Linked DNA regions of Anolis sagrei. The protein of the gene in region 2 interacts with the protein of the main gene of each other region in a biochemical or structural test. Links are inferred from orthologs where the notes say so. Each region holds a gene or a part of one and is shown on either strand. Other genes may lie near its edges.

The links.
Region 1: the proteins of RBBP8 (region 2) and KLHL15 form a complex in vitro, tested with the Homo sapiens proteins (2 studies listed by BioGRID, with this or other methods). The link is inferred for Anolis sagrei from reciprocal best matches to the Homo sapiens genes RBBP8 and KLHL15.
Region 3: the proteins of RBBP8 (region 2) and SIAH2 form a complex in vitro, tested with the Homo sapiens proteins (2 studies listed by BioGRID). The link is inferred for Anolis sagrei from reciprocal best matches to the Homo sapiens genes RBBP8 and SIAH2.

Annotation. Positions count from the first base shown.
Region 1 is NC_090023.1:86,712,741-86,720,014, reverse strand, and holds the start of KLHL15 (kelch-like protein 15), read right to left. Parts: upstream 3,004-7,274; 5' UTR 2,585-3,003; intron 1-2,584. UniProt on the Homo sapiens protein: Substrate-specific adapter for CUL3 E3 ubiquitin-protein ligase complex.
Region 2 is NC_090024.1:59,992,822-60,000,540, forward strand, and holds the start of RBBP8 (DNA endonuclease RBBP8), read right to left. Parts: upstream 3,004-7,719; 5' UTR 2,671-3,003; intron 1,728-2,670; 5' UTR 1,640-1,727; intron 1-1,639. UniProt on the Homo sapiens protein: Endonuclease that cooperates with the MRE11-RAD50-NBN (MRN) complex in DNA-end resection, the first step of double-strand break (DSB) repair through the homologous recombination (HR) pathway.
Region 3 is NC_090023.1:241,455,000-241,462,757, forward strand, and holds the start of SIAH2 (E3 ubiquitin-protein ligase SIAH2), read right to left. Parts: upstream 3,004-7,758; 5' UTR 2,532-3,003; coding exon 2,025-2,531; intron 1-2,024. UniProt on the Homo sapiens protein: E3 ubiquitin-protein ligase that mediates ubiquitination and subsequent proteasomal degradation of target proteins.

The DNA of each region.
Region 1 (7,274 bases), on a different chromosome or scaffold from region 2:
TGGCAACACTTGCCTTCCTTTAAGGCGGAGAGAGAACAACTTGGCCATATTCCGCCAGTGGGTTTCCATGGCTAAACAGGGATTCAAACTCCAGTCTCCCAGTAGTATAGTCCAACACTCAAACCATTACACCATGCTGGCTCTTCAATGCAGTATAAAGTATCTTTAATATAAGTACCGTATGGTGGTTCTCAATCCAGATGTTTTCACCTTTAGCTACCAGAGGTCCCAGCCAGCATGGATAATTATAAGGGTTGAAGGGTGCTAAAGTACAAAAACTGACTGGCCAATTGAGTGTGCTATATTCTGGAGGCATCACTATAGTGCTCATATCACTATAGTGCCCATCTGGACTGGCACTGGAATATGACCTGGAATATGTTATTTAAATTGTTGTTTAATGTTATGTTTTAAATGGTTGGTTTTAATGTTTTGTTTATTCACTGATGTATGTATACATGCAGCATTGAATTGTTGCCTTTGGAAGGCTGCCTTGAGTCCCCTCCGGGGTTGAGAAAGGAGGGATACAAGTGTGGTAAATAATAATAATACATAATTTTTCCCGGCCTCTTTATCAAGTGTGGAATTAGAAAGGGGAAGATAGCATCATCACTATACCCTCAAAGACATTAAGAACACCAGAGAGGGAAAAATACCTGCCAGTCAGAGATTTTACAAAATATTAAGTAGGAGTAGCAGAAACTGCCCCACACACAAAAAATGCATTAGGATTGCATTACTACCCTTCAATTCTGTAACAGTGCTGTCCTCTCAGACACCTCAATCAAACTGTCCCTCTTTCCCCAAAATATAGGGGATGAATGTGAGAAGAGTAAACTGACTCAGTATGAATATCCATTTTAGGGATTGTAACTGTAGAATGTAATTATAACTGCAAGCTGCCCTGTGTCCCTCTTCGGGCGTGAGAAGGATGGGATATAAATGCTCGAAATAAATAAATAAAATGGATACAGTCTGACACCACGTGAGCTGCTATGGCTGAATGCTATGGAATGATGGGAGCTGCAGTTTTACACGGTTCTTTGGCTTTCTCTGCTCTAGGGTGATGATGCCTCGACAAACTATAAAGGTAAAGGGTTCCCCTTGATGTTAAGTTCAGTCGTATCCGACTCTGGGGGGTGATGCTCATCTCCATTTCTAAGTCAAAGAGCCTGTGTTGTCCGTAGACCCCTCCAAGGTCATGTGGCCGGCATGACAGCATGGAGTGGCGTGACCTTCCCACCGAAGCGGTACCAATTGATCTCACATTTGCATGTTTTCAAACTGCTAGGTTGGCAGAAGCTGGGCCTAACAGCGGGAGATGGCCTTGCTCCCCAGATTTGAACTGCCAACCTTTCAGTCAGCAAGTTCAGCAGCTCAGCACTTTAACAACAAACTATTGGGTATTTCAAAAAGATGGACCTAACCTCCCATGAATAAACCTCTCACTACTTGAAATAACAAACAGCCCCTGGACTCAATTTGCAAGGTGGCAACCCCACAACATAAGGCCTAGTGAGATATTTTCCATTCGCAAACGTGTGCAGTTGGAACATGTTGCCATGACAAAAGTATACTGCTTTGAAATTGGGTCCGTCCTTTTGAAACACCCTGCACAACTCCCAGGATGCCACAGCATTCCTAGTGGTCTCAAGTGCGTGAATTCTACATCCTTTCAGAAAGGAGAAGGTGTTTTATAAGGGACTAGCTGTTGAACTGGAAAATAAAGTAATGAGAAACTGTTGGTTTCTAATATATGTAATTCCTTTATGCTTGTAGGTAAACAGTATTTCTTGCTGTTTCTTTGTTAATGTCTGGTTTTCCCACCCTGGAACACGCAACGTATCATTGTCCTTCTTTAAGGGTCCCTTTCAAATCTATGATACTATATCTCTCTGTGTGTGAATCATATCTATCTATCTATCTCTATGGCTGGATGGCTCTTTATCAGGAGGACTTTGATTACGTTTTCTTGTCCTGATGAAGAGAGTTGGATTGGATGGCCTTAAGTATTTTCTGATGGTCATGGGGGTTCTGTGTGGGAAGTTTGCCCCGATTCTGTCGTTCGTGGGGTTCAGAATGTTCTTTGATTGTAGGTGAACTGTGAATCCCAGTGACTACAACTCCCAAATGTCAAGGTCGATTTGCCCCAAACTCCATCTCTATTCATATTTGGGCGTATTTAGTGCTTGTGCCAAGTTTGGTCCAGATCCATCATTGTTGGAACTACAACTCCCAAACTCAAGGTCAATGCCAACCAAACCCTTCCAATATTTTCTGTTGGTCATGGGAGTTCTGTGTGCCAAGTTTGGTTCAGTTTCATCGTTGATGGAGTTCAGAATGCTCTTTGATTGTAGGTGAACTATAAATCCCAGCAACTACAACTCTCAAATGACAAAAATCATACATCCTTGTGTTGTGAGACGTTTTGTTATCAAATTTGGTGCGATTTCGTTCTTTTGTTTTTAAGGTACTCATTATGCACAGAGCATTTATATATAGAAGATAGAAGATGGGACCGGGGTAAGCTCTACCTGAGGGGCCTCGGCCACGACCAAAGGAGGGGGCGAAGAGCTGCACCTACCTCTCAGCATCGCCGGAGACGCTGGCCGTGAGGAGAGGGGCCTCTCTGGGGAACATCAAGGCGGGCGAGGGAGAAGAGGCGGGAGCCTGGCGGAAAGGCAGCCTCTCGGCCCAGGCCCGCTCCTCCCTGCCTCAGCCTCCCTTCCCTCTCCGTTGTTTACCTCCTTCGCTGCCTAGCACAGCCGCCACCGCCGCCATCTTCCCCCAACGGCAAGCATCCCACACTGACCGTCACTTCCGCCGTCGCCGCCACCTGTGGGCAAGGCCGGAGGAGGAGGAGGAGGAGCCTCCATGAACACGGCGGGCGGCTGCTGCTGCTCCGACTTCTGAGGAGAACCCCACCGACCACCACGACGCCTCGCGCAGGGCAGCCACCCCATTCGCTGGCGCGGCCGTTGCCTCGTAAAAGCCGCCGGCCCGCCTCCCTCACGCCGCCCAATCCGCGCCCGCGTCAAAGAACCCCCTCCCTTCCCGCGCCCTGCCCCCATTGGTCGCCCTGCCTGCCGCTCAGCGCGCGAACACTTCCTCCTCGGCCAATCCTCGGCGGGCTTCCCTCAGACACCCATTGTCATCACATTTCCCGCCCTACCTGCTTTATTTCTCCTCCTTGTGGGTCAGGTGGGAAATACTCCCAAATGACTGAGGGTGCGTCTACGACTGTGGAATTAATGCAGTTTAACAACACTTTAATGCAGTTTAACAACACCAGATGGTCAGCACCGAAATCAGATTGACTACATCCTTTGCAGCCAAAGGTGGCGGACATCCATCCAGTCGGTGAAAACAAGACCTGGGGCTGACTGTAGCTCAGATCACGAACTTCTTATTGCCCAATTTAGAATAAAACTAAAGAGATCAGGGAAAATACACAGACCAGTTAGATACGATCTCACTAACATTCCTAGCGAATATACAGTGGAAGTGAAGAACAGATTTGAAGGACTAGATTTAGTAAACAGAGTCCCAGAAGAACTATGGACAGAAGTCCGCAACATTGTTCAGGAGACGGCAACAAAGTACATTCCAAAGAAAGAGAAAACCAAGAAGGCAAAATGGTTGTCTGCTTAGACACTGGAAGTAGCCCAAGAAAGGAGGAAAGCAAAAGGAAACAGTGAAAAGGGGAGATATGCCCAGTTAAATGCGCAATTCCAGAGGTTAGCCAGAAGAGATAAGGAACTATTTTTAAATAAGCAATGCATGGAAGTGGAAGAAGACAACAGAATAGGAAGGACAAGAGACCTCTTCCAGAAAATTAGAAACATTGGAGGTAAATTTCAGGCAAAAATTGGTATGATAAGAAACAAAGATGGCAGGGACCTAACAGAAGCTGAAGAGATCAAGAGAAGGTGGCGAGACTATACAGGAGATCTGTATAGGAAGGATAACAATATCGAGGATAGCTTTGACGGTGTGGTGAATGAATTAGAACCAGACATCCTGAGGAGTGAGGTTGAATGGGCCTTAAGAAGCATTGCTAACAACAAGGCAGCAGGAGATGATGGGATCCCAGCTGAACTGTTTTAAATCTTAAAAGATGATGGTGTCAAGGTGATGCATGCCATTTGCCAGCAAATATGGAAAACACAAGAATGGCCATCAGACTGGAAAAAATCAACTTATATCCCCATACCAAAAAAGGGAAATGCGAAAGACTGCTCAAACTTCCGTACAGTGGCCCTTATTTCTCATGCCAGTAAGGTAATGCTCAAGATCCTGCAAGGAAGACTCCAGCAATACATGGAGCGAGAGTTGCCAGATGTTCAAGCTGGGTTTAGAAAAGGCAGAGGAACGAGAGACCAGATTGCCAATATCCGCTGGATAATGGAGAAAGGCAGGGAGTTTCAGAAAAACATCTACTTCTGCTTCATTGACTATTCTAAAGCCTTTGACTGTGTGGATCATAATAAATTGTGGCAAGTTCTTGGTGGGATGGGCATCCCAAGCCACCTTGTCTCTCTCCTGAGGAATCTGTACAAGGACCAAGTAGCAACAATCAGAACTGACCACGGAACAACAGACTGGTTCAAGATTGGGAAAGGCGTACGGCAAGGCTGCATACTCTCACCCAACCTTTTTAACTTGTATGCAGAACACATCATGCGATGTGCGGGGCTGGATGAATGCAAAGCTGGGGTGAAAATTGCTGGAAGAAACATTAACAACCTCAGATATGCAGATGACACCACTCTGATGGCCGAAAGCGAGGAGGAGCTGAGGAGCCTTCTAATCAAGGTGAAAGAAGAAAGCGCAAAAGCCGGGTTGCAGCTAAACGTCAAAAAAACCAAGATTATGGCAACAAGAATGATTGACAACTGGAAAATAGAGGGAGAAACCGTGGAGGCCGTGACAGACTTTGTATTTCTAGGTGCAAAGATTACTGCAGATGCAGACTGTGGCCAGGAAATCAGGAGACGCTTACTTCTTGGGAGGAGAGCAATGTCCAGTCTCGATAAAATAGTGAAGAGTAGAGACATCAGACTGGCAACAAAGATCCGCCTAGTCAAAGCCATGGTCTTCCCTGTAGTCACCTACGGATGTGAGAGCTGGACCTTAGGGAAGGCTGAGCGAAGGAAGATCGATGCTTTTGAGCTGTGGTGTTGGAGGAAAGTGCTGAGAGTGCCTTGGACTGCGAGAAGATCCAACCAGTCCATCCTCCAGGAAATAAAGCCCGACTGCTCACTGGAGGGAAAGATACTAGAGACAAAGTTGAAGTACTTTGGCCACATCATGAGGAGACAGGAAAGCCTAGAGAAGACAATTATGCTGGGGAAAGTGGAAGGCAAAAGGAAGAGGGGCCGACCAAGGGCAAGATGGATGGATGGCATCCTTGAAGTGACTGGACTGACCTTGAAGGAGCTGGGGGTGGTAACGGCCAACAGGGAGCTCTGGCGTGGGCTGGTCCATGAGGTCACGAAGAGTCGGAGACGACTGAACGAATGAACAACAACAACACTTTAACTAGGTTGCTGTGGGTTTTCCGGGCTGCATGGTCATGTTTATTTATTTTATTTATTTACTTTATTTGTATACCGCTTTTCTCAGCCCTCAGGCGACTCAAAGCGGTGAACAACATCGATACAAAATATCACAAAACAAGTATAGGGCAATTAAAAACAATTATCACATAAATCATTAACATCAGTATAACAATCATTAGCGCCTCAACAGTAAAATCAGAATCCAGTCTCATCATCCATTATTTCGTATTCCTATGTTCAATTACACTGTTTAATCAAATGCTTGTTCGAACAGCCAGGTCTTCACTTTCCTCCAAAACGCCAGCAGGGAAGGGGCCGATCTGATATCTGCAGGCAAGGCGTTCCACAGCCGAGGGGCCACCACTGAGAAGGCCCTGTCTCTCGTCCTCGCCAAGCACGCCTGTGATGCAGGTGGGACAGAGAGCAGGGCCTCCCCAGATGATCTTAGTGTCCTAGTCGGTTCATAGGAGGAGATGCGTTCGGAGAGGTAAGTAGGGCCAGAACCGTTTAGGGCTTTATAGGCTTTATATGTTCCAGAAGCATTATCTCCTGACGTTTCACCCACATCTATGACAGGCATCCTCAGAGGTTGTGAGGTCTGTTGGAAACTAGAAAAATGAGAATGCCCAGGGTGGGAGAAAGAAACTTGTCTGCTTGAGGCAAAAGTGAATGTTGCAATTGCCCACTTTGATTAGCCTTGTAGCTTGAAAGCCTGGCTGATTGCTGCCCGGGGAACCTTTGTTGGGAGGTATTAGGTGGTGGACAGGCCTGGACACAGCATGTTATTTGGGAACACAGAGATAATGCACCACTAGCAACCACCATGTCAGGCTATACAGAGAGGCCATTTAAATCCACAAGCATGTGGACAATTTCAACAGAAAGGAGAAAACAAAATCTAGCTACCAGTATTTAAAAAAATTTAAAATCAGAACAGTAAATAAAGAACAACACTCAAAAAACGTGAATTGCTGGCAAGTATCAATCAGGGCCAGCTAACACCTCCCAACAAAGGATCCCCCCTTCTGCCTCACTTTCTGGATGTTGAAACATTTGGCCTTTTGTGGAAACAAGGACTGATGGAAAAAACTTCAATAGAGAGACCTTTTTCCCAGTATAACTCTTCCAGGAGTGAACATCCCTGCTGAGGGATAGATTTTTCTCCCTGTTGTCTCAGCCCTGTTCTTAACTATGAGTCTCTTGTAAGTCAGATGCTTCTAACTGTGTGTTTTTTAACCTCATTGATCCTTAGTCACCTTTTAAACCAATTAAGTCAATGGTGCAGTAAAAGCTCACATTTATTTAATTTATGTTATTTGTTTAAATTCCTCCAAAGAGATCTGAGCAACTTAAATATGGCATCCAGGCAGCTTAGACAGAGACATTTGCTTAGCATGTTCCCTCTCTCTTTCTCTCTCGCTTTTGAAATTGTTCTCTATTCAAAAAGATATTATTTTATGTCTTAAGATATTTGTTCCCAATTAAGTGTATTTAGGATTGTGACCTTCTTAAAAAAAAAACCTCTATACCAAAATACATAGTTGTAAAGATGTAGTCATCAATAATGCTATACTTATGATCTAAGGTTTATTTATGCAATTATGAAAAAATACTATACTAACATCAAAATTGTCTAGAATGTCATAAAAAGAATCACTGATAAAAAATGGAGTGTTGTCAGTGAGAACCTTAAAATATTTGAATTTTTCCTGA
Region 2 (7,719 bases):
TGTGACAGATGCTCCACCATAGAATCTCCTCCTCCTCCTCTATAGGATCTCACTGCCTGGTTGGAATTCTATTCTAACTTACCTTAAAGTAAGCCATGGTTGAACACATTGGGCCTTACTCCTGAGTTGACATACATAGGTCATGCTGTGGACTCTAGATAATAGACTGCAGTATAATGAAAATTTAAAGCATGTCACCATAAAAAGTTAGTTGAACATGGCATATGACATACTTTCCATTGAAGTGGGCAAGTGTGCAAGCAGCCCCCACATTTTGTATTTGTGGGTCCTGGGTATAAAAAAAATTGACTTATCCCCCACCACTAAATTGCTCTTTAGGGGGATATAGAGGGTTTTTTTCACAAACCTTTGGAAATTTGTGGATCTCTCACAAATTTGCAAATAATTTCAATTTTTAAAAAATCTCAACATGACTAAAATGCTTTCTAGGGTTCGGAAAGACTCCAAAACATACCCCTGTGTCCTCTACAGGACTTTACAGGCAAAATTGGTGTTTCCATGAGATCAGGTATAACAGGGGCCTGTCTCTCCAAGGTCTCTTGGCGGGCTAATGTGGCCTCTATGACTTCAACAGTTGCCTACTCCTGCTTTACATATGAAATGATTTGCCAGCACTATGGAACAGTGCAAAAGCAGAATAATCTTGGCATAGGATTATTCCTTTTGTTTGTGAGCAGTCCTGTACTTGGGTTTTCATTCACCTTTTTCCCCAGCCAGAAATATAAGAAATACTTAAGTTCTAATGAACCATGTAAAGTAAAGGAAGAAGGGGGTGTCAAACTGATTAGAGTGTAGAGCCAGCCTAACCTTGTTGGCTAACTTTGTAGGTAGTCCAAACCTCCCCCTCTCTCTCTCTATATATATATCTAAATATAAAACAATATAATAAGCTATATAGTAGTTTTGATAAGAGATGCAGTACTGTTATAAATCTTTCCTCATAAGCAGGTACTGTACCACTAAATTCAATGTGTCTTACTTCCAACTAAGCATATCTAGATTAGGCATGGGCAAACGTTGGCTCTCCAGGTGTTTTGGATTTCAATTCCCACAATTCCTAACAATCAGTAGGCTGTTAGGAATTGTGGGAGTTGAAGCCCAAAACACATGGAGGGCCAAAGTTTGCCCATGCCTGATATAGATGCTATTTAGCTGAAGATGGCTATAAGATGTGATCTAATTTATCCTTAACTTGGAATCTTACTGCAATATTATTCATCTTTCTTGCAATATTATTCAGTTAAGATTCACAACAGCTCTGGTGAATATAGTAGGACTTCTATATCAACAGACATAGAAGAGCTGTTAAAATTTAAAATTAAGGAATACATTAACAACATCAGAAAATTTAGTTTTTGGAATGGTGAAGATATATTATCCCATTTATTAAAAAATATGTGGCTTTCCCTTGTACACTGCAATATGCTGCTTAGTGCTATATCAGATGACAGACATTTGCATCCTCCCAAGGAATAATAAAAACAACTCTTCATCAGCATGGATAGCCACATATCAAGCTGACATTTCCTCTCTGGGATTATCCTGAGGTCTAACAGGCTATTTAGATCTATTAAACAGCTTTGAACCATATATTATTAACAGCCAGTATTTTACTTACCTCATAATTTTTTTATTTATTTTGTTTGAAATCCACTAGTTTTCATGAGAAGAGACCACACAGTACAGGATTTATCCCCCTTTTCCTGCTTTAAAGAGGAGATAGGAAGAGTCACTTTTAGTTCAAACAAAAGTTATTTTGTACAAACAGGCATGACAAAACCTGTCTTCATTCCTTTCTGTTCAACTCAGCCCAGTATAATTCTTAGCTTCAGAGCACAATCCTATACATGTCTACTCAGAAGTAAATCCCAATGAGTTAAGTGGAACTTGCTCCCAGGAAACTGGTTAATCAGTTACCAGATTTTATAGACTTTGTTTTCAAAGTTGTCATAATTCTGATTTGAACTTGGAAAATCACAAATGCATAGACCTCAATTTTAACTCATTCTTCTGGGGCTACAGATGAGGAACCTATTTTATTTTGGATATGATAGCAGTATAATCTCTATATAATAAAGGGACTCGTTTTTCTCCATGCAACTTATAACATGTGCCAGGCATCAATGTGTGGCAGGATATGTGAATTGAATCCATTGTATTTGTTAATGTGTTATGAGTTCATCTTATAAGAAAAGCATCATTTTGACAATCATATATTAAGCATTTTTCTTTATTATGTTGCCATAGTGAAACCAATATATTTACCACACATTTCACATATAGAAGCTAATATTACTATCTTGTATTCATTTACCTTGGCATTAAGTAATTTGAACTTACATGTAGGGATTGCACTATATACCAAGGAAAATTAAAGGTCTTACCAAATGTTTAGGATAACATTCTGGCTACCTATCCTTGCATGTCTCATGACTTGCTTCATGCTTTGACCTGCATTCCCACTAACGTGATGAACAGCCCCATAAGAGAACCACTAAATGATATTAGCAGGAGTCATATACATGATACAACATAATATTAATACCCAACTAAAGCATGCAGCAGTATATCTAAAATTCTTGGCACAACGTCTGAAGTTAAGGTCTTAAAATTGACTATTCAGCATTAAGGGAGACGTTATATACTTACCTTTTTGTTTTGATTGTAAATGTTCAGTCTGACTCTGCTCTTGAGCAGCAGTGGTGGGTTATTTAATGTTTTCTTCCCCTGATCATACCAGCTGGGAAAGGTAAGGCTATAAAATCACCCGTGGACCACACTAGAGAATGCTGAGAGGAGTTTTGCTGCAGCTCGGATATACACAATGTGCAATGGATAACCTAATATGTCTTTCATTTAACTGGCTGGGCAGGTTTCTGAATTCTCTGGAACATGGAATCATACCAGAATTTGTTGGCATAACAGGCCCGTCAAACTGGTTCTTGGGTAGAGCAAGAACCCGTCCAACCAGTCTGCATCAAAGGGCAGCTCAACATGCTGCGGCTCAACTCAGCTCTGAAGCTTCATAAGTGGCGAATTATTCACGCCTCCACCAACTCCCAACAGAGAATGTTGTAGCCTCCAGCAAAACAATTTACCAAAGGGTTGGGGAGTGCTGTATCCCTAACCATATCAAACACAGCAACATCCTATTGTTGCAAAGCTTTTTTATTACATTTCTAGATGGAGCGGTTGATAGATAAGCATTGCATTGGTCATCCAAAGAAAAGAAACAAATGCAAAGAAACCAATAAGAAAAGGATACTTCAATTAAACAGCATTTCCATTTCTTACAAACAGTACTCAAACTGGGATCCAAGCCTGAAGTATTTTTAGATGTTGGTAGCAAAAGCTCCAGTAACCAATAGAAATAGAAATATTATGTTACACATACGATTAAAGTGCGGGCAACACAAAAACGTTGCTCTTTTTGGAGCAATGTTTGATAGTATTTAGTTTGCTATACAGAGTTAATGCAGGAGTGGCAGGTCAGAAGAGATGTGTGTTGATACATGTAAAACTAAGTTGCAAAACACGTTGAAGCATTGCAATGTGCTAACAGAAAGATAGCCCTAATTTCCAACAGACTGTATCCTATTAAGGTTTTACAAGCATCCATTGTTTGTAGCATTCCAGAAGGCCCTTGTAACTTTAATTTTAAGTAGAGATCCAATTCCTAATGAAATTCAGTTTTCTCATTTACCGTTAAGATCAGGATTTGGTTGCTGTGAGTTTTTCGGGCTGTAGGGCCATGTTCTAGAAGCATTCTTTCCTGGTGTTTTGCCCACATCTATGCCAGGCATCTTCAGAGGTGATGAGGTCTGAGGATGCCTTCCATACATATGGATGAAACGTCACGAAAAAATGCTTCTGGAACATGGCCATTGGCCATACAGTCCAGAAAACTCACAGCAACCCAGTGATTCTGGCCATGAAAGCCTTTGACAACACAAAGATCAGAATTGTTTGGTGGGGACACAATATCCAATGACCCCAGTGATTTTTACTTGTCTTTAACGGGATGATCAACTTGGTGGAAATGCTACTTTCAGTCATTGCCATTCAGAAAGCATCCCAAGCTCCGTCTTGAAAACATTTATTATACTGATCACAGCAATGAACAATAAGGAGCAAGAGTAGTACAGAGAAAACAGGGAAGAGAAGGGAAGTGAAGGAAAACTGAGATAGTGGAAGAGAAGGCAAAATGTACAGGGAAGGACAAAACAACAGGTGAGGGAAGGACAAGGATATAACCGTCTGCCCCAAACCAATTTCTCATAGGTTCTAAGGGCCCTTTCACACAGCCATATAACCCAGAATATCGAGGCAGAAAACCCCACAATATCTGCTTTGAATTGGATTATCCGAGTCTACACTGCCATATATTCCTTTAAAAGCAGATAACGCTGGATTTTATTCCACTGTGTGGAAGGCGCCTAACATTATTTAGCTGTATTGGAAAATGATCTCTTTCTTGTTATAAGATTTCAACAGAAGGGCATTCATATTTTCTTTTGAAGGGAAACAAAAAGCAGCAAGATTTTACCAATATTCCATCTTTGAATGATACTTTTAAAACATATTTTATTTTTCATATTCTATGAGAGATTACATGATCCTTATCTCCAGAATTGGATTTCTCCTGTGAGATGGAAGAACAAATTACCTACCATGCACAGTGCTTGCTGGATTATCATGTTAATTTCCCTTTGAAGCTTATATCACCAGATAAAAATGCCCATCAATGTAAAAGACCTGCCTGGACAGCTGCAGCTACATCTATACTATAGAATTAAGACAGCTTGACACCACTTTTACTGCCATGGCTCAATGCCATAAAATTGTGGGATTTATAGTTTGGTGAAGCACTGTTTGGCAAAGAAGACTACAACTCCTATGACTCCATAGCATTGAGCCATGGCAGTGAAAGTGGTGTCAGGCTACATTAATTTTACAGTGTAGATGCAGCTTCACAGTATTACAATAAAGATCTTCAAATGTACCAGATATCATGGACTGGTTTTTTTCATTCAGATACACTTGGGAAAAAAGTGACAAAAGGTATTGGCTCACATATCTAGCTCTAACATGAAAATTTTAATTATACTTTCCAAATGATTAGTTGTTGGAACATACTAAATTACCGGTTCAGCTAACTTTGGATCATGCTGTCATCATTTCATCAACCTTAGCAGAATTTTTTCCAGGTGTGGAAGGAAAAAAGTCTAATTAAATCATTTGTGTTGAAATGCAAATATTAACATAGCATACAGTCAAGGTTGTAGGTTGCAAATGATTTAGAGAATGGAAACAAACCCAAAAGAAGCTACAGAGAGTAGAACAGTTCTAATGGTACAACAGATGTGCAGCGTTTACATTACAGCCATACGACCTCAGGCTATTGTTTTCAGAATTGAGCTCGGTCAGTAGACCTGAACAGAAGAGTTTCAGTTATATGTGGTGTAGGAAATGGTTTTGATGATGTAGACAGGCTTACAATGAGTAGGATTAAAGTCATACTGCATATCATGAAGAAGAGTACTGATTGCTGGAGGTGTTCTTTATAATTAAATATAGTGTTCAAGGACCAGGCTATATATTAATAAGTTTGATTATCAAAAATAGTTTTGAAAGGGGGCAATTTAGAAAAAAAGTATATGCCAACGTTTCTCAAAGTGGGGACCCCGGGGGGGGGGTCATGAGGGGGTTTCCGGGGGGGGGGGTCACCAAAGACCATCAAAAAACACATATTTCTGATGGTCTTACGAACCCCTTTGACAAAGAAGGCTGAAGATCTCTCCACCTGTCCTTCTCTTCCTTTTTGGAAACAGATAGAAAATGCTCTCACCAAAAGCCCTCCTCCTCCTGTGATTGGCCGGACTCTCAGCTGGCCTCTCAGCCAAGGGAAGGTCTGTTTCTGAGACTCCAAGTGGGGAGAGGAGAGCAGGTATGCTCTCCCCTAAATCACTGTCAATTCCTCCCAAATCCCTCCAGTATTTTCTGGTCATGGGAGTTCTGTGTGCCAAGTTTGGTTCAATTTCATCATTGGTGGAGTTAAGAATGCTTTTTATTGTAGGTGAACTATAAATTCCAGCAACTACAACTCCCAAATGACAAAATCAATGCCCCTTAAACCTCACCAGTATTCAAATTTGGGTATATCGGGTATTTGTGCCAAATTTGGTCCAGTGAATGAAAATACATCCTACATATCAGATATTTACGTTACGATTCATAAGAGTAGCAAAATTACAGTCATGAAGTAGCAACGAAAATAATTTTATGGTTGGGGGTCACCTTAACATGAGGAATTGTATTAAGGGGTTATGGCATTAGGAAGGTTGAGAACCACTGGTATATACAGGACATGTTAAGGTGAAGTAGATGCATCATTAACCCTCTCCTTCTTATAATTTTGCTACTCAAACTTTCCTCTCTCCAAAGAAATTTTCTCCTGGATTCCAGATGTGTTTTCTAGCATAAATTTGTCTCTGGCAAAAGTTCACTCCGAAAGTTGCTGCTTGATTCTTTCATTCTCTCACTTTTTTCATTTTATGCTATAACAAAGTAACACGACTATTTTTTAAAGGAACTACTGGTAGGTGAAGAAAAATCAAAGTTCATATTGCTACCTTTTTAATGTAAATTTGCCCTTTCCCATACTGCTTTTCTGTTCACAACTACAATGGTGACCAGGGTTTTAGAACACGTTTGCATGCTCTTGACCTTTAAATAATGTATTTTTATTCCCAAAGAAAGGCAATGAAAATGAGTACAATATAGGTAGTGATAACCATCAAAAACAGGATTTTAAACACACATGCTTGCAAGCTCCTAACCCTTAAATAATGCCTTTCTTATGGAATAAAAAATACAGTGAAAATGATTGCAACATAGGTAGTGTTAATCATAAAAACATTTAGAGACAATTTACTCTGTCTTGCCTATTTCATTAACCTGTTTGTTAGTAAGATTTTGATGATATTGTGTTATGGTGTTACTCACTGGTTGATAGTGGAGAAGTTCTGATCAAACCATTTCCTATAATCCCTGTTGTTGACAGGTTTTCCTTAATTATTTCACTACACGCGAAATCCATGAATTCATTTTTGTGCTTAGCACGTTGTGCTTAGCGAGCACTTCATTTTATAGAGCAACACAGCAATGTGTCTTAAGGTGAAAGAGTTTGAATTTCACAATCTTTCTTAAAGAAGCAGCAGCTGACACAGGTGCTGACTTGCTCCTTTGGTAAATGTATGCACAAACATTCAAGGTTTTATTATAAAAATGCACAATACAATATTGAAATATGTCCAGAAGCTTTATGAACAAATCTGTGGAGTCTCAGGGTGGATCTAGACAGCTCTTTTACTGCGGGAGTTACCGCAATAAAAAAGGGGCTGTCCAGGTGACGTCCTGGACAAACTTGCATTAATCTCCCACAAACCAGGAAAACCCTGGTTTGTGGTAAATTGATTTGATAGTGGGTTTATTCCACACTTTCTTGGAAGACACAGGACAAACCCACTACTTCTGGTGTCTGGACAGCAGAATACTGTCCAGACAGTATTCCCACAGTTTTCCAGGCTAAATTAGCCTGGAAAATTGTGGGAATACCAACCCCTCCTCAAAAGCCCTCTAAAGAGAGAAAAGAACTCACCCAGCCTCCATGGGACAGCTGCTGGAATTCTACTGGTG
Region 3 (7,758 bases), on a different chromosome or scaffold from region 2:
GTGATAAAGCTTGAGAGGAGACATTTTTTCCCAATGATAATAAGTCAACCAGGAGTGATTTGCCTTTCCTAGGGGTAGATTTCGATCACTTCCTACTGTTTCACCCCCATTCTTAATGGTGAGTTGGATGTTTGCAACTCAGGGACCATCTATATCTTTCTTGAATTGTGATGAAACAGCATCGCAGGTGAGGAAGTTCATAGAGTGGGGTGGGGATGACTTCTTAGATCTAGAGACCTGATAGATCAGGCCTGGGCCAACTTGGGCCCTTCAGGTGCTTTGGACTCCAACTCCCACTATTTCTAACAGCCTCTGACCCTTTTCTTTCCCCCCTCAGTCACTTAAGTGGTGCCTGAGGCTGTTAGGAATGGTGGGAGTTGGAGTCCAAAACACATGGAGGGCTAAAGTTTGCCCATGTCTCTTCTAGAGGGAACTCTTCTCTAGGCATTTAGACATCCTCCAGTGTGATTCTGTGGTTGTACAGGAGTTGGGCTGGAGGACCCAGAGAAATCTTCTGTCAGAAAAAAATGCATTTTAAAAAATGTGTTGTTTCTCCACTTTTGTGGGGGTCCTGTGCTGGAGGGCCCAAGTTCACCCATAAGTGGCTGAGGGGGAAAAGGAAGGGAGCTGAGGCTGTTAGGAAAGGTGGGAATTGGAGTCCAAAATACTTGGAGGGCCCAAGTTTGCCCATAATCTGCTGAGGGGAAAAAAGAAGGGGCCTGAGGCTGTTGGGAATGGTGGGAGTTGGAGTCCAAAACCCCTGGAGGGCCCAAGTTTGCCCAAGCCTGGGGTAGATGCACTCTATGCCTTACTGAATTCAGTGGGACTTGCAATTGGCCCTCTGCATCCACAGGTTGAACCTTCTGTGGATTGAGATCATATTTGTATCCAACAGACAATGATTGGAAAACAGCAATCACCTCTATCAACCAATGATTCAGTCAGGTAAGTTATAATGAGTCTATGGCAGGCCTAGGCTATGGGTGCTGTGTGGAAGTCCAAAACACCAGGAGGGCCCAAGTTTGCCCATGCCTGCAATATAGGGACACAGTCACTCTATTTGCCTGGCTCTTCCTTTCAAAGGATGACACAAGAAGAGCAGTACTGATCCTCGCTTAAGCGGCTGAGGGGGAAAAGGAAGGGGTCTGAGGCTGTTAGGAATGGTGGAAGTTGGAGTCCAAAACACCTGGAGGGCCCAAGTTGGCCCATAAGTGGCTGAGGGGGAGAAGGAAGGAGCCTGAGGCTGTTAGGAAAGGTGGGTATTGGAGTCCAAAACACCTGGACAGCCCAAGTTTTCCCATAAGCAGCTGAGAGGGGAAAGGAAGAGGCATGAGGCTGTTAGGAATGGTGGGAGTTGGAGTCCAAAACACCTGGAAGGTCCAAGTTTTCCATAAGCAGCTGAGAGGGGAAAGGAAGGGGCCTAAGGCTGTTAGGAACGGTGGGTATTGGAGTCCAAAACACCTGGAGGGCCCAAGTTGGCCCATAAGCGGCTGAGGGGGAGAAGGAAGGGGGCTGAGGCTGTAAGGAACGGTGGGTATTGGAGTCCAAAACACCTGGAGGTCCCAAGTTGGCCCATAAGCAGCTGAGGGGGAGAAGGAAGGGGCCTGAGGCTGTTGGGAATGGTGGGAGTTGGTGTCCAAAACACCTGGAGGGCCCAAGTTTTCCCATAAGTGGCTAGGGGAGGAGAAGGAATGGGGCTGAGGCTGTTAGGAATGGTGAGAGTTAGAGTCCAAAACACCTGGATGGCCCATTATTATTATTATTATTATTAGGAAGGGGCCTGAGGCTGTTAGGAAAGGTGGGTATTGGAGTCCAAAACACCTGGAGGGCCCAAGTTTGCCCATAAGCGGCTGAGGGGGAGAAGGAAGGGGCCTGAGGCTGTCGGGAATGGTGGGAGTTGGAGTCCAAAACACCTGGAGGGCCCAAGTTGGCCCAGGTCTGCTATAGGCGCAGCTTTGGGCTCCTGCTGAGCCTGAAAGTGCCCGAAGTGGTCAGAGCGCCTCCTCCCTCCCTCTCTGGCTTACCTTGCAGGGGAAGAGGACGGCCGAGGCCACCTTCTCCATGGCCAGGTTGCGGATGCTGGGGGTGAGCGACCCCCGGCACGTGGGGCAGCAGCTCAGCTTCTGCCGGCATTGGTTGCAGACCAGGTGCCCGGCCTGGCACTGCAGGATGGGCGGCAGCACGTAGTCGAAGCAGACGGGGCACTCGAAGAGCGAGGTCAGCTCGTGGTGCTGCGGGGACGAGGACGAGGAGGACGACGACACCGGGCCCCCTCCGCCGCCTTCCCCGCTGCCGCCGCCTCCCCCTCCTCCTGCTCCGGGGCTGGAGAGCCCGGCAGCGGTGCTGGGCAGGGCGGAGGAGCCGCCTCCGGCCGCAGAGATGGCGGCAGCGTTGTTGGTAGCGGGAGGCGCCGCAGCCGCTGCTGGAGACGGAGCCGGAGCGTGTGGTGGCGGCGGCGGCTGCTGCTGGGGCTGCTGCTGCTTGCCGCAGGTTTTGCTAGCGCTGGGTCCGGCGGAGGACGGGCGGCTCATCTCGGCCGGAGCCAACCATCGAAGGGCGCGAGGCAAGCAAGGGAAGGGAAGGGGACGCAACCCGAGGCGCGCGCTCCGGGGGGAGGGAGGGGAAAGCGAGCCAGATGTTGCCAAAACAACCCGTCAAATGGGAAGCTCCCAAAGAGGACGCAGCAGCCCCGTGCCGAGCAGAGCCCGCCGTCCAGCCCGAGCGCAGGGTCCTTCCCACTGCGCGTGGCTCCTTCTGGGCTTCTCTCCCCACCCCGGAACCTGGATCTGACGTCAGTGAAGGAGGGAAAGAGGGGGCGGCGTCGAAGCCACCCACCCAGCGCGCCCCAGACTGCGCCCGCGATCCTTGCCTGTCTCCAGGCGCAACCACAAGCACGCAGCGGCCACCTTCCCTGTCGCAAGAACCGCCTGCTTTGCCGCCGGGAAGGAAACGAGGAGGGAAGAGGCGAGCGATCTTCTAGAAGTCGGGTGGCGCAGCGGAGTCCCAATAATACGGCTTCCTTGAGCGCCACCTGCTGGCCAGTTGCCTCCCTGCCTGCTTGCCTGCAGCCCAGAGGCTTCCCAAACAGCTGTACTGTTGGGATGTTGTAGGTCAGCGCTTCCTAATAGTACAGTGATTCTCAACCTGAGGTCTCCACAGGGGCGGCTTGTCCATTACGCAAAGTAAGCGGTCGCAGAACACTTTTTTTTTTTGCCAGGGGCGCAGAGGCACCTCTGTAAATGCCCCTCCACCACCACTTGAGGAGCGCCCCCTCAGCTCACAACAGCCCTAGCAGTCCGGGGGGAGCCTCGGCTTTCTTGCCTCGCTGCCGGGCGATCCTCTTCTCAAAGGGGCCGGGCCCTTGAGCCTCGCCTCTCTCGTTCCTTCTCCACCTGGCCACCGGGTGTGCGAGCAGAACCGGCGCTCAATCGTTCTCCGTGTTCGATCCCTTCCCCATGACCGGCTCCCTTTCCCGATCCCCTGGCGCTCCACCCACCTCCTCTCCTCTCCCCAATCCGCGGGTAGGCCAAGGGGCTGAGCCGCCGCGCCTGGCTCGCTTCGGGTCCGGAGGCGTGTCTGAGACCCCAGTGTGCGCACCAAAAGTCGCCTCTTCTCCTGACTTTCTCTTCAGCCATTGGGACCAAGAGAGAGAGAGAGAGAGAGAGAGACCCTCCGGCTGGAGGTATCTCCCACCTCTGCTCCCTCCTTTGTTTTTGCGCCTACCTTCAGGAAAGGTGGGCATCTCCACCTCTGTCTCTCTCTCTCTCTTGGTCCCAATGGCTGAGGAGAAAGTCAGGAGAAGAGGTGACTTTTGGTGCACACGCCGGGGCATGCCTCCAGACCCAAAGCGGGCCAGGCAAGGGAGCAAGTGCAGCAAATGTAGTTACTAGGATGTATAGTTCACCTACAATCAAAGAGTATTCTGAACTCCACCAATGATGGAATTAAACCAAATATGGCACACAGAACTCCCACGACAAACAGAAAATATATATCAATGATTGGTTGGGGGGGGGGGGGAAATACTGTTTGCTTACCGTTGAAAATTACTTAGGGCCGCCTCTGGGTCCCCAGATGTTTTTGGTCTTCAACTCCCAGAAATCCTAACAGCTGGTAAACTGGCTGGGATTTCTGGGAGTTGTAGGCCAAAAACATCTGGGGACCCACAGGTTGAAAACCACTGTAATAGTATGATAGCTGGGTCTGGAAGCTCCAAGCATTACGGAGATGCCGCATCACTCCTTTGGGAGCGCTGTTTGGACAAGAGAGACTTAGCTAATGTAAGCCAGGTTGGAGACAAATAATATAGAAGGAATGTAAGAGTTCTTTGATGGTGAAACCCTAACCCGTTGTGTGTAGGTTTTTCGGGCTATATGGCCATGTAAAGAAGCATTTTCTTCTGACGTTTCACCTGCATCTATGGCACGCATTCTCAGAGGTTGTGATGTCTGTTTGAAACTAGGCCTGATCCTTAGTTTTTCCAAATTTCGTGTGTCTTGGAACAGTTTCTCCTCCTAGAGATGTTCAATGTATTGTCGAAGGCTTTCATGATTGGAATCACTGGTTGTTGTAGATTTTCCAGGCTGTATGGCCATGTTCTAGAAGCATTCTCTCCTGATGTTTCACCCACATTTATGGCAGGCATCCTCAGAGGTTGTGAGGTTTGTTGGAAACTAGGCCTGCTCCTTAGTTTTTCCAAATTTTGTGTGTCTTGGAACAGTTTCTCCCCTTAGAGATGTTCAATGTATTGTCGAAGGCTTTCATGGCTGGAATCACTGGGTTGTTGTAGTCTTTTCAGGCTATATAGGCATGTAATAGAAGCATTCTCTCCTGACATTTTGCCTGTATCTATGACAGGCATCCTCAGAGGTTGTGGGGTCTGTTGGAAACTAGGCCTGCTCCTTAGTTTTTCTTCTAGAACATGGCCATATAGCCTGAAAAACCTACAACAGCCCAACAGATGACTATCCGAACTCTGTTTACACAGTATTCCCAAGTCTCAATTCCCAATTGATGCTTAGGTACAACTCTTTGCCAGTATAGCTAAGAATGATGGGACTTGCAACCTAGTTGTGTTAGTGGTGAAACTGGAAAATCGCAGAGTTTGAGAAGACCGCAAGGCCAGTCAGTCCAACTCTATTATGCAGAAATAAACAATAGTGGCCTTTCAGCCTCTATTTACAAAGTTCCAGAGAAGGAGACCTCTCCACTTTCCAAGGCAGCATATTCCATGACTGAACAGCTCTTACCATCAAGAGATTCTTTCTAATGTTTAGGTGGAATCTCTTCTTATAGTTGGACTCCACTACTTTGCACTGTAATTTCTAGTGCAGCAGAAAACACTGTAGAATTAATGCACGTTAACTGCCATGGATCAATGCTACAGAGTCCTGGGAGTTGTGGTTTGAGAGTGCACTCTTGGGCAGAGAAAGCTAAAGACCTTCTAAAACTACAACTACCATAGTTCCATAGCATTGAGCCATGGCAAAGTGTTGTCAAAATGCATTATATCTTCGGTGTAAATGCACCCTTGGGTATGAAGCACCAGTTGCCAATCTTGCTTAAACTTCTCTGTTGTATCATCCATAATGAGAATTGTCAGTTTGTGCATTTCCTCTAGGTTGTACATCTTCAGCAGCCAATCCTCTATTATTTTAGTGCGCAAATTTAAGTTCAATGTGAAAGGATTTCCAGTTGTTTCAGTAGCATCTTGAATACACACTGTTAAATCAATTTAGTTTGCAACAATTACCAGTAAAACTATTTAGTTTCTTGTCATGAAACTGTTACCTGCAAATTCAGGGACACCAAAATATTTCTGATGGTTATTTGACAAATGATACAATACTTACACAAGATGTTGTTGATGTTCTTTCCTCCAACAGGAAGTAAACAGAATGAGAGCAAAACCAATCCAGGGACAGCAATGGTTCTGATTTATTGCAGAGATACTTTTTTGTGACAGCTGGGTCAGTTCTGGGAAAAGATATTTGTTTGGACTGTAGCTCCAAGTGACCCTGTTGGCTGGGAGCATTGTGAGCTGAAGTTTCAAAAAGTGCTTGAAACTTTGGCCAATTCAAACCTGACCATTGTGTTTACAGATCTGGAAGGCAAAAGCATTCAGTTGAATGAACAGCATTAATCTGAGTGTCCCAACACTTGACTTGGCTGAGGTTATATCTCTTTTCTGATTTTCCCATTTTCCTGTGCATTTAACCATTCTTACTGAAGAAGTGAGTCATGTTAGCAGTGGTTTAAGTGGATGTGAAATAATTGTTCTGGATCCACTCAGAAATAGGTTGCTGGCTTTTAGATTGAGCTTCCACAAAGAATAGAATGTAGATCAGGACAAACTTTGGCTCTCCAGGTGTTTTGGACTTCAGCTCCTACAATTCCTAACAGCCTCAGACCTCTTCCTTTCCCCCCTCAGCCATTTAAATGAAAAGGACCTGAGGCTGTTTGGAATTGTGGGAGTTGAAGTCCAAAACACATGGAGGGCTGAAGTTTGCCCATGCCTGATGTAAATGGTATTTTGTGACTAGGTAACAGATGGAAAGACAACCAATGAGGTGTAGTAGCTTGAGCATTGGACTACAACATTGGTAAACCAGGGTTGAAATCTGTGCTCAGTGGAAACTCACTGGGTGATTTTGGTCAAGTCACACATGCATCCAGAGAAGGAAAAAGGCAAACTCCCTCTGAACAAACCTTGCCAAGAAAAATCCATGATAGGTTCACCATAAGTCAGAAATACATTTCAGGCACACAATAACAGCAGATTGGGTATCCTGTCTCTAACTCAGGTATAGATTTATTTTGGCGTGGGAGTCAAGAGGCCCTCTAGATGTTGTTGGACTGTAAAACATAGTATTTGTCTCCATTGACACTATTGGTTTGAACTCTTCTGATGAGCTGACTGTAATGACTGTAATAAAGTGAACTTGAACTTGAACTCTTGGAAATTACAGTTCAAAATCATCTCAAGTGCTGTACAATTCCCATTCTGATCTACCTTTGTGCCTTTACTACAGAAGACACTAGATAATCTCCTCCCAATGTGGCCACTTAACACCCCACAGAAAAAGAGAGAACATAGATTTGCACAGCATTCTGAGATGTATGTACAGACATAAATTTAAAAGCAATAATTGTTATTATTTAAAAAGCAACAAAAATGAGGTCTCTGTGAACCTTAATCACTAATGCAATTCATCTGGTGTATGGTTTCATGGACTTCAAACTCATTCTCATAGGTGAGGAATGTGGCCTTGGATGCAAAGAAAGCTGCAAAGGTCATGCATGTTTGGGTGGGGAGATAATAATTAGGGAGATAAAAGAACTCAAAATACAAACAATGTCAAAAGTAGCTTAACAATGATAATTAACAAATAGTAGCAAACCGGTTACACAGATATTTCCGTATTGAAAAGGTCATAACTATATGTGCTATTTTTTTAAAAGTTTGCCCACATGTAGGATATAATGGTGAATATCTTGAGGAATCTTCTAGAACATGTTGAGAGAGAATTATGTATTTCCAAATAGCAGCACATATTGGGGATAATGGATCATGACCTGTTAGGATCACAGACCATCAGGGGAGCAGAGCTTATTTGGTTATGAATGATCACTGGGCATGTAGATATTTTGTTTCTGTTTGGTGCTTTCAGCAGACAATGATGCAAGCAGACTTCTTTTAAAGATAACAAGGTTTGTTTACTGATAACTTCATGTATTTAAAGATACAGGCACATTTCT